Linked DNA regions of Schizosaccharomyces pombe. The protein of the gene in region 1 interacts with the protein of each later gene in a biochemical or structural test. Each region holds a gene or a part of one and is shown on either strand. Other genes may lie near its edges.

Evidence for each region.
Region 2: the proteins of pmo25 (region 1) and nak1 form a complex in vitro, tested with the Schizosaccharomyces pombe proteins (one study listed by BioGRID).

The regions. Positions count from the first base shown.
Region 1 is NC_003424.3:4,703,964-4,707,762, forward strand, and holds pmo25 (mo25 family protein Pmo25), read right to left. Parts: upstream 1,979-3,799; 5' UTR 1,957-1,978; coding exon 1,855-1,956; exon of another isoform or gene 1,800-1,854; coding exon 1,347-1,799; exon of another isoform or gene 1,262-1,346; coding exon 827-1,261; 3' UTR 525-826; downstream 1-524. Other genes in the region: mannosyltransferase complex subunit Alg9, read left to right, coding at 1-358; kinesin-like protein Klp3, read left to right, coding at 2,952-3,062, 3,116-3,215, 3,424-3,497, 3,543-3,696, 3,770-3,799.
Region 2 is NC_003423.3:2,481,500-2,486,176, forward strand, and holds nak1 (PAK-like kinase Nak1), read right to left. Parts: upstream 2,927-4,677; 5' UTR 2,822-2,926; coding exon 2,742-2,821; exon of another isoform or gene 2,691-2,741; coding exon 2,204-2,690; intron 2,139-2,203; coding exon 747-2,138; 3' UTR 568-746; downstream 1-567. Other genes in the region: SPOM_SPBC12C2.01C (uncharacterized protein), read left to right, coding at 1-388.

The DNA of each region.
Region 1 (3,799 bases):
TGAATCTAATTCAACATGGTGGAACCGTGAAGGCTACTATCAGATCCCTGAACACATGAATGAATTCAATAATGAAGAGCCAACTCGTTATACTTCTCTTGAGTCTTGCGATTTTTTAATAGATTTAGAGTTTGATCATTCGAAGGCCACAGTCAACGAACCGATATATTCAAAGTCTGACGGTTGGATTCCAGTCATGGTGTACCCTTTCATTGACACGAAACAAACTCCTTTTATGGGCAGAGCTTTTGCTGTCCCCTTTATTGAGCCTAAATGGGGCCGATATGAGATATTGGTGAAAAAGCCGGTCAAGATTGATTTTTCAAATTTGCGTCGTGCCTCTAAACAACAAGCTTAAAATTTTTAAGAGAGTGTATGTAAGCCTTTCTTAGGTTGTTATTACTAAAAATTGTAAAAGTCTTTGCAAGCATATGTCCAAAGCTTTAAATTCTCTAAGAAGAAAGAAAAGGCTGTGGAAACTCAATTACATAGAAAAAATGCGAAGTTATTTTACATTTGATTTTCCAATTTGTCAGATATTTAATTAATAATTAGTGTCAAATAATCTATCTAAACGGTTGACTTGGCGATGTCAGACAATCTTAGGAAGTCTTAGTACATGAAATAATAAAGTTCTTTTATTCATGGAATCGGTTAGCAATTAACCTAATGCTAATATCTAAAGCATCCGTATCTCATGCATCAAATATTTCAACTCGCATATATCATTTAATAAATCTAATCTACAATTTTTTTTCCTTTGTAAATATAGGATGGACAACAGCATGATTTTGAAAGACATGAGCACATTGGTGAGTAACAAGAGTCATAAGCGTTCAATCTGTTTTATTACAAATGCGCGTTCATCATTAAACTGCTCATCATTTTTCCGGTCAGTATGAAAAGCTGACAAGTAAGAAATCAACTTTGATTTGTTCCTCCTTAATATTTCGATTACTTCTTCCGACTTTTCAGGATTAGCAACAAACAATTTAAAAACATGAAAAGCTTCAAATTGAATGTTTTTACTCTTATCTCTCAGCAGAATCATCATTAGTTTCAGATTCTCAGCAGAACTAATATAGCGTGTCATGACTGAACGGTTAGCACGATTAAGAAGAATTTCCCCTAAAAGCTTTAAAGATTGACGTTTGGTAACATAATTTTCAGATTTCAAAAGGACAGTGTATTGCTTAAAAAACTCGTCAAAATGGTATGAAATAAACTCAGCAACTTGGGATTTATGATTAAGAAGAATAGACTGATTAAAGTTAGTAAATGCAAAACTAGCGGGAGTATATAAAAACATTGCAACGACAGAAGTTTTATTTGGGGATAATACGTACCTTAAAAGTCGAAAACGCATCACTCGCCATATCAAAACTAGAGGCTTGTATCAAACTAAAAAATGTCCAAAAATCTCGTGAGTTTAAAAGTACCTCATTAAGGGCTTCATGACGGGAACACTCACGAAGGATAGAACCAGCAGTAAAAGCTACTTCCTGGTATCGATAGTATGAGACCAATACTGGAAAGATTTGCGGGTGCGCAAGCATGTAGTCAACAGTGGGATATCTCGATGCTACATGCCTCCTAAGTAAAGCGCTAAATATTAGTCCTGTATCCTTTTTAGACTCAAACTCCAATTTCGGTAAATATCGAACGAGTAAAAAAGGTAAATTCGACTGGTAAATTTGAAAAGATAAGTCTGATACGAGATCAGCATCAGGCTCTACTTCAGCTGTCCCACACAATGAAACCCGTAAATTCTGTAAACATTTGGAAACTTCCTCAAAGGACTGTTTACGTTAGTCATCTAAACGAACAAAAACAACAATTACTAATAATTAATACCTTCTTTTTATCATTGTTTATTTCCAACTTTGGGAGATTATCACATAAGCAGCGAACAACATCTTGGGTTGATTTTGGTCGTTTATTGAACAGAAACGACATGCGGAATTATGGAATTCGGTTTCTCTAAAAACTTATGGCATATGACAGGGTAAGTAAAGTGGGTGCCAGGCGATGGTCCACAGTGGGGGTCTATTTTCATATTCAGTTGAATACTATTAAGGTACACTTCTTGAGTATTCAAATTACCTTTACTTATACCTGAAGTGATACCAATGTGGGGGTTGTTACATCTCGATTATACATAAGTAATCAAGTATTGAAACGCAGGTGCATTTAGATGATAGCAAGTGTACTAAGTAGATCTATTTATGAATTATGCATTTTCCATACCTTTTTCTCTTCGGTAAATGAATTGGTAGGTTGGTATAGCTAGTAGAAATACAAAGTAGTAAAACAAACGTTTTTTAATGCTAATGTTTGAAATAGTATCTGGGATAAACTTGTAAATTGCAAATACATCCAAATCTCCATATAAACTTCACAATTTAAAAAAATTATTTAATTTAAAAAAAAAAATAAATAAATACCTGCGAGGTTTCTCGTTCTTACCATTTAATCAAATTTTCATAAATAAATATGTGAGAAATTGCAATCCAATTTTCGTCACAGATATTAATCAGACGAAGGGTAAAATACTCTGCTTAAAATATGAATCAAGATTGAACAATCTTAAGAATTTTATACATGTGTAAATCTTCAAATAATATCAGGAAAAAAAGAATATGTAGAAGGAAGTAAACAATTTTAGCCTGTTGATTTGTAAATTTATTTTTTTTAATTCACACTTCGAGCTTTAACATTAAACAATTATGTAGTTAATTACATGATATTATTCTGTTTTTGATACGTTGCCTTAAACAACAATTATTGTAGAGGCACCATGTTAGGTTAACCTCGTCTTTCCCTGTATATGAAATTAGCCCGCTCACATATTGTCTTTAATGATTTTTTTGGATGTATGGATCTAATTTATATACTGCGTTTTAATCATACATTATTTGATTTTTTATCTTTTTATAAAGCAGTTTTACTCAATGACTTCAATTAAAGTAGTGTGCCGAATTCGGCCCACGAACCAGTTGGAACAAGACCTTGGAGGAAATAATGTGATATACCCATTAAACGATTCTACTGTTCATATCGAGGTAGGTTTCAACAATTGATCTTTACTTTAGAATTCGGCTGACATGATTAAAAGACTAGTGATTACTCAGGAAACTTTGTATTCGATCGTGTTTTTCATCCTTCTAGCACTCAGAATGATATATTTTCGTATTCAATTGAATCGACAGTCGATGGTATGTGAATGATAGTAAAACTTTACACGGCGTTGAACGGATTAATTTCATCGTTGTCAGCAACAGCTTGTATGAAATTATAGCATAGCCTTTTTTTATATGCGCTCGTTTTGACGCTTCATTTGAAACGAATTGCCATTTTAATACATTGTTCGAATCACATTCAAGTTGTTCTGAATTTCATTAAATATGTACTAATATATTATAGACTTATTCTTGGGTTATAACGGAACAGTACTAGCCTATGGACAGACAGGATCCGGCAAAACATACACCATGATGGTATATTCACAATTTCACCTGGCACACTTTTCTAACAATCTTTAGGGTATTGAAAATAATTTCGAAAAAGAAGGAATGACTCCAAGAATGCTCAGGCGTATTTTTGACAAAATCCGCGATTCACCATCTACTACTGAATACGAAGTGAAGGTATCATACATGGAAATCTACATGGAAAAAATTCATGATCTACTTTCCGGTAAGCCTTCAAATGCCGTAGAAATTTTGCGACGTTCGTATTTAATTTCAGCAAAATTAACCATGATTTACAGAAAAAAATGACAGACTGACGGTTCATGAAG
Region 2 (4,677 bases), on another chromosome or scaffold:
TGATCCTTTTCTTAGATCGAGGATGTTCACTTTAACTATTCGTTACTTTCTACTTCAAAAAAATAGGCTTAGGACTAGTTTTTATTTATTAAAACATATGGAGTTATTGGCTCTTCCTGCTTCTTATGAATTGAAAACAACTCTTTTAGAGTGGTTCTTACGAAAACGAAAATTTGAAACAGCTCAAAAGATTTTCCTATCGCTCTGCTTTTCCCAACATTTTCCCTCCGAAAAGTTATTGATGGTTTTACTTCTTCATGGGACTGAAACTATGCAGGAATATGCGATGATACAGGCAATAAATTTTGTGAATACAGAACAAAAGTTACGGTTTTACGATAGACTACACTCGATTTGTAGCAAGTTAAAGTTTTCCTCGACGGGTTGATGCTTTGGTAATAAAAATGGTTCATTTGGATGGTTATTTAAATACAATATTAAGATTTCTACTGTTTGGGTATTTAGTAAGGTAAATTAAATCATTGTAATTTTCGTTCAAATTGTAACTCATATAAATTAAATTATCCCTCATCTTGTTCTTTAGTTATTATCACGACAATAAATTTACGACTCTATTCCTTAACCGTGGGCACTATTTTAATTTAAATGTTCTGTATTTGGCATCATTATCTCAACAATTTAGATTTTCATAAAAGATGAACGAATATATTAGCAAAAAAAGAGAAGTTAAAACATTAAATAAATTAAAGATTATATTATGAAAGGACTAAAAGCATCATAAACAGTTATTCATTATATGCTTTTCTGTTTAAAAGATTACATTCCAAGCTCTTTAGACAAGCGTCCATTTCTCCCAAAACGATGTCTATTTCTAAGCTCAATACAGACTTTATATTGTGCATATTACCTGGATAATCATTAAATAATTCCATATTTAGACCTCGAACCCCCAGAGAATCGTAATTATCATTTGCTAATGGTTGAACGGCCGGTGAGCCAATGGATAAAGGGGGTAAATGAGCTCTTAATTTCGAATTAAATGGCTTAGGAGTGGACGAACAGGAGGAAATTTTAGGAGTAGAACTAGCGGATTCAAGACTAGGTTTATGCAAAATAGAGGGAGAAATCGATTTCGGAGGAGGTATACTAATTGACCTATTAACCTCTAATGGCTGTAGCACTGCCGAATGTTTATGCGCTGGCGCTTCTAATGGTGTAGATAGTTGTTCAAATGCGCCCATCGATATACTTCTAGATTGGAGGTCGAATGAGGATGGCATACGAAGACCCGGCTTCATTGGTGACATGGATATTCCTCGTTTTCCAAGAGAAGTTTTTTGACGTTGCACAACTCGAGGCAGGGGTCGTTTGATACTTTGATCCGATGAGGTTTTGGAATTTGAGCGTGTGCGACCTACAAACAAATCGTAATCTTCAGCTTGCTTAGTGTGTTTCGATTGAATGGTTGATTTTTTGGAGGATAGATTTGAGGAATCTAAGCTAGGTAATTCGATTTGAGAATAAGATACTTCACCTTTGGAATCCTCAGTAGAAGCTCCTTCAGCGTTACTGGGAGAATCATCATCCGAAATCTTTGAATCCTTAAAAAGTTGTAATAACGGATGGGAATCATTAGATGAAGGGGGTTCATGCACTGTGGAAGATTTTGGAATTACAGTTCCAGTTACAGTAGTGGAGGAAGTAGCAGCGGTAGTAGTGGAGGTGGAAGTGCCAGTGATGGATGAAACGTTACTTTGACCTTGTTTAATAGTGCCAAATTCCCAACCATCATCAGAAGCAGCGGTGTCGGAGGTTTCCTGATCAGGGTCGCTTCCATCATCGGCTTCTTCACCCAAGAGTAGCGTTTGGGGTATGCCGCCAGCAGCCTGCCAAGTGTCATAGCGTTTTACAACATTGGTAAGTTCAGAAATAGACATGCGAGAATATTGTTTGATAAATTTTGATTTCAAAAGTTCGGAAGAATCTAATCTCCTCTGAGGGACATCCTGCAAACAAGAGGCAATGAATTCTTTTAAAAGAGCACTAAAATTTCCATTGAGTCTAGGGGGTGCGGTGTGAGCGATTAGGTAAACGGCACGAAAAGGATCCTCTTTGGCATGAGGTGGAGATCCAGTAGCAATTTCATATGCAGTGATTCCGAGCGACCAAATGTCAGCCTAAACTTTGTTAATAATTTTGTGGAATAGGTAAAGGGCTATAAGTAATCAGCAACGAAACATACCATAACATTATATTCCTGACCATCTCGAATAACTTCTGGTGCCATCCAATAAGGCGTTCCAATAAACGTGATTCGCTTTCGGCGATTGATGTTTAGTTCGGCAGCAACGCCAAAGTCACATAGCTTGACATTTCCAGACATGGAAACTAGGATGTTGGCAGCTTTTATATCACGATGGATGATACCTGCATGATGAATAAATTTTAATGCCTGTAAGGTCTCTCTAAGGATCAAAGATATGCATGGTTCACTAATGGGACCAGCCTCCATCAAAGTACGCACGCTACCTCCATGACAATAATCCATTATAATCCATAAATTAGTACCTACCAAATAAGAGCCATGATACTTTATAATGTTTTCGACATCGGACTGTTTCAATTCACTAAGAACAGCGACTTCTTTCTGAATATCAGAGACTTCATCCTCATCGGTATCCAAATTAAGAATCTTGATGGCAACAGTCTCTTTCGTTAAATTGCAAATTCTTTAGAATGTTAGAAAATGTAGAAAAGAATCACTCGAATAATATTCATACCCTCTATAGACTGCGCCGTACGAACCGCGTCCCACCAATTCTAATTTTGTGTACGGCGAAGAAGCAGTGTTATTTTCCATTTCTAATAACTTTAGCTGCTTAGCAGATACATGAAGAATTTTAATTGAACAGGTTCAATTCAAACTCCTTCAATTCCCTTTCACTTTTTCTATACTGCTGGTGGTAGCGGGTACGAAGGAATTGAGTAGATATATATTGAAAAACTGTTTACTATAATACTCAATTTGTGCAATCCCTAAATAACAAACAACTTATTATACTATTTTTTTTCAATACCGAAGCTTTGCGAGGAAAAATACAGCAAATTTAGCAGGAGAAATGAGAATATCTTATCGAGTTTAGCGTAACGTAAAACTAACGATATCTTATCTGTATTTTTCTACTACGCTATGTCGTTAATCAGTATATAATCTGTAGTTATTTATATTTCCGTTCCGCAGCGGATATATATCCGTTCTTTGAGAGTAATTATCTTTAAGACTAAAATCCTTTAAAATAAATCGACCGAATTTTTGTTCCTCAGTTCAAATTGTAAACAATTTATACAGTTATAGTAGTACCCAATGTCTTGTTTATATCCAAGGATATTTAAAGCCCATATTCGTAAACCAACTTTACATAATGCATACAATCATATAAGATCCTTCTCACAATCTACATTTTACGGATTGCAAAATTTCCACTATCTAAGCTTAAGAGCTGAAAGCTTCTCACCTTACAAATATGCTGATTTTCGTAGTAAATAATAAAATGAGATGACATTACTTATTTACTCGGTCGATTTTTGAGAATTTGCGTAAAATACTAATTTGTATCTTAAGATAAAGATACTAAGTTGATTATGTAAATCCGAGTATGCATGGTTGTCTGGTGTGTTACGTTTAGTATGCTATCCATTAGCTTGTACACTGTTCTCCAAACCATTTCATTTTTTTTATGAAATTACCAATTGGTTTGTAATAAGTTGCTTTTTAGTTAATTTAACGAGCATTACTGTTGCTGCTCATCTTGCATGGCTATCGTTTCGAACCGATCATATAAAATATTCGACGAAACAATCGCATAATAGGAGCTAGTCAAAGAAATTTTAAATTTTTGTACAATTTCTTGAGGGCAGCTTAGTTTTGTTTGATGGGATGACAAATCCCGGTATTTACAGACTTTCAATTCAATGAATTGATTTGATGCGTCCAATACCCACATCGCTATTTTAAAAGTGTAGTAAATAAAAATAATGTAATGTATATTATTAATTTATTATTACATTGCCGAGTAAAAAGGGAGTAAAACGAGAAATCAATTGAAGGATTTGTATTTTCTTTATTCTTTCGTTTACTAATTTTTGTAGCGATGACCTATTTTAAAGGTTAGATAAAGTAAGTCAACACGCTGAGCTTAATTGAGATTATCGGTGCGAGCGATCGATTGTAACAATCAATCGCAACAATCAAATGATAATGTATTAAGCAAAAAAAGGAAACTTGAAAGAAATATAGAAATGAGCGACCCTTAGCTCTTCGACCTGGGTGAACAAGAGTCGTTGTACATAATAAAAATATAACAAAAAAGAAAACCCCAGACAAATCACAGTTTCAAGCATATTATACAATCATAGAAATTTGCATTACTAAAAGAATTTCTCTTAAAAGATTAATTATCTAAACATTCCTGTATATCGAAAATCGTAGTTGTATGTACAGAGAGACATGGTACTTTTATTTATCAATAAAAACAGTATACCAACAACCAAGGGGAGGGCATTCTTCATTGTCAAAACTCGTCAGTTTGACTTGTAAGAATTCGCAATTCAAATATTTCCTAGGAACATGACTTTCAACTCGTCCTTTAATGAGCCCACTTTGCACTGCTAATCTGGGATGGGTGGTATCAGCACACTTCCTACTGACACTAACGC